2 linked regions of the Arabidopsis thaliana genome follow. The protein of the gene in region 2 interacts with the protein of the main gene of each other region in a biochemical or structural test. Each region holds a gene or a part of one and is shown on either strand. Other genes may lie near its edges.

Region 1 (4,716 bases), on a different chromosome or scaffold from region 2:
GTTATTTATGGTCATATATATTATATCGTTAAATTTTGTCGTAAAAATGGGTTATATGGTCACATTAATCTTGCATGGGACCAAAAGTAACAAGCTAAATTAATAATGTATTCTTTTATTTTGTTTGTCAACAATTAATAATGTATTCAAAATCAGTAGATATTTTGATTGGAGCAACCTTTCGAACCAACGAAAGAAAAGGGGCAATTATATAACCATCCATTTTTATTGACAGAACCTTGATTTCGTAATTATTTAACGAGCTTCTTTCCTTCCTCCTTCTCTTTTTCCCCAACGAAAGAAGCTTCCATGAAACAGCATCAGAAAAAATCAAAATTAAAAACAAATGAAATCTTTCGTACATCACATTATTAACGCGGTAATTTATTTTTATTTTATTCCCGTACATGTCTTTTAATGGATTTATATATATTAAAAAAGATGTTGATTTGGTTTTATGTGAATACTGTAGTACTAATTTATGCCTACCAAAAAAAAATAGTACTAATTTATGTGTGGCTTGGATTTATATATATGTACAAATGGGCACAGCGTGACAGCGAAAATAGTAACGTACGATTTATCTAATCTTTAAAACGTTGTGTGTTTTGGATAAATTACAAAAATAATTAAAATTGATTTTATATTTTGTTGTACGCTGCGGTGGGTAGATCACGTCGTAGATTTACTATAAAAATTGACACTGCAAAATTTATCCTCTTTTTTTTGGTATTAAACTTTAACCAAAACTTCACAAGATTATAAAAGCCTTGCACTCTAACAATGCAATGCGATGATTTCTAAGTCGTCAAATGTTTAAGTCTGAGGAATTGGGACATAATTAGTGTGATTGTGGGTAGTGATCATACATGGAACTAATACATCTTTATAAAATTATACTGACTTTCCAACTTAGCTAAGTAAGAAAATAGTAACTATTAAAAAAAAACAATGAGATAATGTTAAATATTAATCAAATTTGTTTTTCTTTTTTATTTTGGGCAAAAGTTATTTTTTCAAGCGCACTGTTTGTACTTTATAATGTGAAACATATATTGAAAATAATCAATTGAAATCTTAAATGTAGTCATATTTCTTTTTTTCAAAAAGCATCAAATAGATCAATTTGCCCATAAGACTCGATTTATTTTTCCACGAATATGGGAAAAAACAACTGGAGATTTTTAAAAAGGAATGACATATGTTTTCCAAATGTATTAACTAATGATTCCAACATAAGCAAATATATTTTCTAAAAATAGTGAAATAAACAACTGTGAAATGTATACAAAAAGCATGAAATATATTTTCCCAAGTATTGTTTAAATTTGATAAATAATTCAAGTTATTTGGAACAGTGATGGAGTGGAAAAATAAACATAAGAATCATAATTAAAAATGAACGTAGAGTTTAGATAGTGATTTGAAAAGATTAAGGAAGATTAGGAAATGACACTAGTTATAGGACGATTCCAACCTTGAGCAGTGGGGCGGGAGTTGTAGTAACCTGTCAACCGCAATATATAGCCTGGTGCTCAAAATGAGACTTGAACTAATACTAATAAGGGGAATTTGGATGTTCAAAGGACTTAACCACGATTGATGACTAAACAAAGCAGTGGTTAGCTGAATTACTAACTAACTAGAGCTAGCTGCCTAGGCTAGTCGAAAGAACAATTCTCCGTTTTGAGTTGACCATAAAATAATAATATTCAACAATATTGGAGGAAACATGTTTATATGTTCTTGTAATAATAATATTATAGCAAATAGCCGAAGATACGACGAAGCGTATATGTGTGAAATGAGTATATTCTACAGCCTAAACCCTCGGAGATACCAAATCAACACGACAACAGCGACGGGACACCTGTATGGTTCTAATTCAACTTCTTGTCCACATCTTCATCTTCTTCTTCTTCTTTTTTTAATAGATATATTAAGAAAACAAAACAGAAAATCTCCCACGTCTTTACAAAGAAAATAAAGAAGAAGAAAATAAGGAAAAAGAATCTGATAGTAATTGACAAAAATACCCTCATCTCCTACCTCAAGACAGTAATATATATGTAACAACTCGATACAGAGCATGGCTTATCTCTTATCCGAATCCTCCCAATTTGTCTGTCTCTCTTTTGTTTTCTCTGCTAACAGATCTCTCTAAATATCTGTTACTTTTGTTCATATCTTTTTACTTTTCAAACTACTAATTTTCCTTTCGCTTCTTCTATTAATAACAACACTCTCTCTCTCAGACTTCTTTTCTTTTTTTTCTACGGCGTTGATTCATTCGCAATGACCTCAGTTTCTGTGTACCATAATTGACCTAGCAGATTCTGTTTTTAATGGTAGATTCTGACCCGGTGGAATTTCCGCCGGAGAACCGCCGTGGACAGCTCTTCGGCAAATACGAGGTCGGAAAATTGGTGGGATGCGGCGCCTTCGCGAAAGTGTACCACGGGAGGAGCACAGCGACGGGTCAGAGCGTTGCGATCAAAGTGGTGAGCAAGCAACGGCTGCAGAAAGGAGGACTCAATGGCAACATTCAGAGAGAGATCGCTATCATGCACCGTCTGCGCCACCCTTCTATCGTGCGCCTGTTCGAGGTCCTCGCCACCAAATCCAAGATCTTCTTCGTCATGGAATTCGCCAAGGGCGGTGAGCTATTCGCCAAAGTCTCCAAGGGCAGGTTCTGCGAGGATCTTAGCCGTCGTTATTTCCAGCAGCTCATCTCCGCCGTCGGATATTGCCACTCCCGCGGCATCTTTCACCGTGATCTCAAACCGGAGAATCTCCTCCTCGACGAGAAGCTCGATTTGAAGATCTCTGATTTCGGACTCAGCGCTCTTACCGATCAGATCCGACCCGACGGCCTCCTCCACACACTCTGTGGTACGCCGGCGTACGTGGCGCCTGAGGTTTTGGCGAAGAAAGGGTACGACGGTGCTAAAATCGACATATGGTCATGTGGAATCATACTGTTCGTCCTCAACGCCGGTTATCTCCCTTTCAACGACCATAATCTCATGGTTATGTACCGGAAAATCTACAAGGGAGAATTTCGCATTCCCAAGTGGACCTCACCGGATCTCCGGCGACTGCTGACTCGGCTTTTAGACACGAATCCGCAGACGAGGATCACTATCGAAGAGATCATCCACGATCCATGGTTCAAACAGGGCTACGACGATCGGATGTCTAAATTCCATCTAGAGGACTCCGATATGAAACTCCCGGCGGACGAGACCGACAGCGAGATGGGAGCAAGGAGGATGAACGCATTCGACATCATCTCAGGATCTCCAGGGTTCAATCTCTCCGGTCTTTTCGGAGACGCCAGAAAGTACGACCGAGTGGAACGGTTCGTGTCGGCGTGGACGGCGGAGAGGGTGGTGGAGAGGCTGGAGGAGATCGTGTCGGCGGAGAATCTGACGGTGGCGAAGAAGGAAACATGGGGGATGAAGATCGAGGGGCAAAAAGGTAACTTCGCAATGGTGGTTGAGATAAACCAGCTAACGGACGAGCTGGTTATGATAGAGGTGAGGAAGAGACAAAGAGCCGCTGCATCTGGACGAGATTTATGGACAGATACACTCAGGCCTTTCTTCGTCGAGCTTGTGCACGAATCAGACCAAACGGACCCAGAACCAACTCAAGTACATACGACGTCGTAGTTTAGGTATCTGTCAAATAAATTATCCAAATAATAATTAAAAAAAAATATCCCGGGTTATATGTAATTGCTTTTTTTTTTACCCGGAGAATATCTCTGACATAATTATTCAGGAAATTTCTCGACAAATCTTAATTTTTAGTTGGCAAGTATGTATCTTCTTGTTATGTAATCATAATTATATTTTATATAAATGAAAAATAAAATATAAAAAAATGTATTACTTGTTTTAAATGGCCACTATAATACATTAGTAACGTATCGTGGATGTGAAGTAATGCTATGTGTACAAGACACTCTAACTTAACCATTACTTAAGGATTAGTTAACTATTCAACATGATATTTAACATACATATAGATGTAATTTTTAACAACTCATAAAACACAGTCTTCTTCTGCTATTAATTTTGTCATTATGTAAAAAGAAGTGTCAAGATTTGAGCCATGAACTAACACAACTGATCTACTTTCACCTTTTTGATAAGTAAGAGGTTGTCCTTATCACATCATTGTAAAAATATACTATTAAAATAGATATATAGCTAGTGGACTTTATATAATCCTATCGCATGTGGCTGTGATATAAGATCATACACCAATAATTCTCATCAATCATTTTCTTTTCTTGGTATCCACATTGAATCCAATCATCCATAATCCATTAATTTCAGCTTCAGCAGTTATAATTACTGTAATCAACATATATATCACCTTTTCAATGCAATAATTGTAGGCTCCACGATCTATATATTATCCAATTTACTATATACACAATCACATCGTACACTTTTAAAGCACTTAATATGCTTTAATTAATTCCTTAATTGTGGTTATATGTAACTAATTATCCTGTTGAGCATAAAAGGAAAAGTAGGAAACACACAAATGCAAAAATCTGACGAGCACGTTATGTTGGTTAGATTACGAAAAGACAAGAGTCTTAAATTGGGTGGTTTCCTTGGTTCTCCTTCAATCCAATTTGTAGTTGTTGGCCCACTAAAAGATAGCGGATTAAGCAAAACCCTTAGAAAAATATACTCT
Region 2 (4,472 bases):
ACAAAATGGAATTAGAAAGTATACGGCTAAAGAATTTAGTTGTCACACTTTATTGAAATTAGGATTGTTGATTTGTTTCTACGGATTCATGTTGAGATAAACCGTAAACGAGTTCATAGTTACCTTTGGTATCTATGAATCGGTGAATCCCAATCTTTAGCCATTGTTTCAGAGTTGTTGCCATTATAGTCTACCATTGCGGCCTTTTTATATATCATTCATGTTAGCATTAGGGTTATAATTTCTAAAAATTGATCACCTCTTTAACTTGTGCCTAGAATGTTAGGCAGACCCAGCCAAAAAATTAAGTGGGTGAAAAAACGTTACACTGGTTAACATAATTATTGGGCTTCGTGGCTTCTCTCTCGTTGACGGAGAACTTAACGGTGTGTGATTCCAAGTCGGATTAGAACCTCCGTTATATATCAATGGGAGTTTTGGCCGCTTGTTGCTGTTGAGTTGTGTTGTCTTTGATTGAAACGACGGCGTATACGTCCATTTTGTCCGTGACATATTCGATATGGTTGACGTCACTAGCTGATACAATTTTGAGCTCAAGAGTTGGGTTCTCCACGGCTCTTTGCAACTGTGATGAAGATATTTTCGAGAGATCTAGTATTGTTTGTTCTAATCTTGGGAAAATGTCCAAGTATACAATGATCTATGAGATTCAAGTTAACCAGTTTCTCATTCACATGAATCTTTCCTTTCTCATGTTAAAACTATCTCGCCATTTGGGTTCCCTGTAAAATATGGTTGTCCGGATTTTACTCCAACTAACAAATTTAGATAGAAAGAAAGAAGAAGCAACAAAATAAAACTAATGCCGAGTAAAAGAATCAATTTGCACACTCCAACAGATAAGATAAACCGAACAAGTTTGCGGATACACAAACATGTGAGGTAATGCTGCTTTCAGAACGTATTTATTAAAAATAAAGAGGAGGGTTGTAATAGAGTAATGGAGAAGAAGATAAGAATCAAGTATGAATGATCTTGTAAAGGGTTTTGGTCTTTCTTCACATCCCTGATCATCCATCCAGCTCACTAGGAGTGTCTGTCACTATAGTGTGAAATACAAAATTTGGAAACGTCTTTGTTACGTCTCTACACAAAACACAACATACAAAAACATGTTAGTCCCGCACGAAGAAGATAATAAGGCAAATAACATGGCTAGCTTACTTGAGATGTTGAAGGCTCATGTTCTGTAACAGAGAGGGGTGGCGCAACACAAGACTCCTCCACTCTTCCTTATCAATCTTCCCGTCCAGTTTAGTATCAGCTTCTTCAAATGTCTACACACACCAATCAGTTTTTACATCTCTTGTCAAAGATTAAATATGAGAATCCTAGTTAGTGTCAATGGAGGAGATCAACCAAACCCACCTTGTCTATGATGCTCTCAATCACATGATCAGAAAGGTTCATGCCAGATTCAGCTAGAGTCCGCACAACCATTTGCTTCACCTCCTGTCTCTTTATATAACCTTGCTGATTCAGATCATACAGCTTGAAAGAGACTGCAGAGACAAAAGATGAGCTTGATCCAAGGTTTGGATATGACAAAAAAAAAGAAGGTCAAGTCTCTCTCGACCACTTACACTCAATCTTATCCTCAAATTTAGCATTAGGGTGAAAGACCGAAAGTGAACGAGCAAAGGCTTCAAAATCTAGAATCCCAGTATTCTTGGTATCAAACAAGTCAAACACCTGCAAAGCTTGAAGTATGAGTGTACAGCAAGGAAACTCATATAAGTGAGTTACAAGTCTATCTAATTTACCCTATCAGCAAAAAGGCTTCTCGTTGTGTTCATTTTGAATAGTACCAATTGAAATTGTTCCTGCAATATATTTGAAAGGATCCTAGTGAATGTAGAGGAACAGAGAGATATAGTACTCGTGTCCGACTATGGATTCTTGCATACCTTGTCGATAAGCCCGTTTTTGCTAATGCTCTTGAACAGTTCGTAAAGAGCTTCAATCTCATTCACTGTAACTGCATTTGGTACATAAAGCCATTGTTGGGGTTGTGACAAATAAAAATAGTAAAAGTAAATGTAGGGGTAGACACATACACACAGTGCCTCTAGCCACATCCTTAGGGTTCTGACGAACCTTGGGAGGATCAGCATCACAACAAGTCAACAGAATTAAGGCTAAGTGCTTTAATCCATCTAAACATTGCATCATCATCTCTCCCAAAAGTCACTATGTCCATGCCTACCACAAACAGAAAAAAGGTTAAATCCATTGAATGTCAACAGAAACCCTCTAAACATATGGCATCAAGAAAAAAAATCAAGAATCGAACATAAATTTGCCGATCCAATGGAGACATCAAATGAATCTAGTCTTGACTTTTTTGAGAGAAGAGAAGAAGATGAACCAAAGCAATATACCTATTCTTTTTTTCTCGTTAGCGTGTAAAGAAGCTTCAGATCACGACTTGTTCCAAGAGTGTTTATTTTTTTGACCACGATCTGATATTTCTCTCTCTCCATAAAAGTTTTTGTTGGCTACAGAGACATGGGAAAGGATCTACAAGTTCGTTGGCGTAAATAAGTCAACTCTTAGTTGGTGACCACTCTAACAAGTTGACATTTCGAGAGAGAGAGAAAAAGGAAGATACTATGATTCATTCATCATAACTAACAAGATTCAGAAGACCAAAAAAAGTCTGTTTTAGGGAATAACATTCACAAAACAAGCCTGAAGGTGAAGTTGATACGCTTTGGCAAAGAATGAATCCAGCCCTTCTGACCACCAACTATCTATGTTTTTCAATGTCAAACTTTGTTGATCTTCTCTGTTTCTTCTTTTTGACCTCTTCCTCCTCACAGGTCCTTTGTAATTATTTAACAGCAAGCTGTTGAGTCAGCTTCCAAGAAGCGCTTTGTAAACCTGACGAGACAAAAGATAAATGTTGGTTCCAAGAACACAAGCGACTTCTCGCATATAAGAGGTTCAATTTTTCTAGTTGATACGGCCAAACCAACAAAAGTCTCTGGATTCTGAAGACGAACCAATCAAAAGTGAATGGTAAAGATGTTAAATTTGCTTCCTCTTTTTTTATATACCAAACAACATACCATTCAACTTTATGATGTAAATTTTATTGTTTGTTTTGTTGGGATTAGTTTGAAATAAGTGTTCCCAAGTCAGCACAGGCTTATACTGCAAGACCATCACAATCTCACTTCCACTCTGAATCACAGATATTAACTAACTAGGCTAGGCTCTCTCTATATGTACTCAAGGATTATTTCCTTCTCTATCTCTATCTCTTATCTTGGTTGTTATATGTTTCCATCATCTATGAGGAATAGTTGAGTGGTGGAAAACAAATATCAACCAAAACAGAAAACTTGATATAGCCATAAACTCAACTGGTGGGAAAAGAAAGACATTGACCACAAAAACATAAATCTGGCCACTTCAAAGTTTACATCTTTTGAAACATAGAGCATTACCAAACGAGTGAGTTAATGAATTGAATACAACATCTATCTAATAATTGGTGAGAATGATGACCATTGATGTGCCTACCACTGATTAGACTGAGACCAAATGTGGGGTGTTGGGGGGTAAATTCAACCAAATCAAACTATAGGGTAATAAATGCAATAAAGAAAAAACAAAGAGATGAAAGTAAAGAGAGAGCAGAAAATGTGAGTGGGGGAAGATGGAGAGTGGTATGGGAACAACAACAATTGATGCTATGACAAACAACAACAGCAAGAAATTTGTGTGAGAGTAGAGAGTCTTGCTTCAGTTGAATCAAAGATTGGTCCTTTTTTTTTCGTTTTCTCTTTCCTGCTTTTTTTGTTTGTAGTTTCTGATCTCTCAGGAAGGCTTTTTATAAATTTGCCCTCAATTTCTCCGTCCCTACTACTCTTTTTGATCAATTTCTACGGGAAAAAGCACCAATCTTTAAACCCGGGCATGTCCTTGTAATCGAGTATGTTGTGTAAGTGATGAATTTGTGGTGAGATCTGGTGAGAAGTTTCCTCTTTTTTCTCAGATTGCGGTAAAAAAAAAGAGTTTTTAATAAGGAAGAGATTGAGATTAGATTTTATCGCTTTTGTTTGTGTGATATGGGTAACGTGAACGCCAAAAGAAAACCGAAATAGTAACAACGCTTCTGCTGTTGAAGACGAAGACGCTGAGATTTGTTCTCGTGAAGCTATGTCTGCTGCTTCTGATGGTAACCATGTCGCTCCTCCTGAGCTTATGGGTCAATCTCCTCCTCATAGCCCTCGAGCTACTCAGTCTCCTCTCATGTTTGCTCCTCAGGTTTTTGTTTTGGTTTCAGATTCGATGTCTTAATCTGGAGGATGTGATGAAAGAGAGAGATCTGTAGCTTTTAAAGTTTGTGTCTTTTTTTAGGTTCCGGTGCTTCCACTTCAAAGACCTGATGAAATTCATATCCCTAATCCTTCGTGGATGCAATCGCCATCTTCGTTGTATGA

The links.
Region 1: the proteins of CBL6 (region 2) and SR1 form a complex in vitro, tested with the Arabidopsis thaliana proteins (one study listed by BioGRID).

What each region holds. Positions count from the first base shown.
Region 1 is NC_003076.8:312,381-317,096, reverse strand, and holds SR1 (serine/threonine protein kinase 1), read left to right. Parts: upstream 1-1,691; 5' UTR 1,692-2,345; coding exon 2,346-3,674; 3' UTR 3,675-3,907; downstream 3,908-4,716. UniProt on the Arabidopsis thaliana protein: CIPK serine-threonine protein kinases interact with CBL proteins. Binding of a CBL protein to the regulatory NAF domain of CIPK protein lead to the activation of the kinase in a calcium-dependent manner.
Region 2 is NC_003075.7:9,241,474-9,245,945, forward strand, and holds CBL6 (calcineurin B-like protein 6), read right to left. Parts: upstream 2,440-4,472; 5' UTR 2,403-2,439; intron 2,224-2,402; 5' UTR 2,197-2,223; coding exon 2,079-2,196; intron 2,000-2,078; coding exon 1,929-1,999; intron 1,845-1,928; coding exon 1,785-1,844; intron 1,714-1,784; coding exon 1,605-1,713; intron 1,524-1,604; coding exon 1,390-1,523; intron 1,299-1,389; coding exon 1,186-1,298; intron 1,108-1,185; coding exon 1,032-1,107; 3' UTR 826-1,031; downstream 1-825. UniProt on the Arabidopsis thaliana protein: Acts as a calcium sensor. CBL proteins interact with CIPK serine-threonine protein kinases. Binding of a CBL protein to the regulatory NAF domain of a CIPK protein lead to the activation of the kinase in a calcium-dependent manner.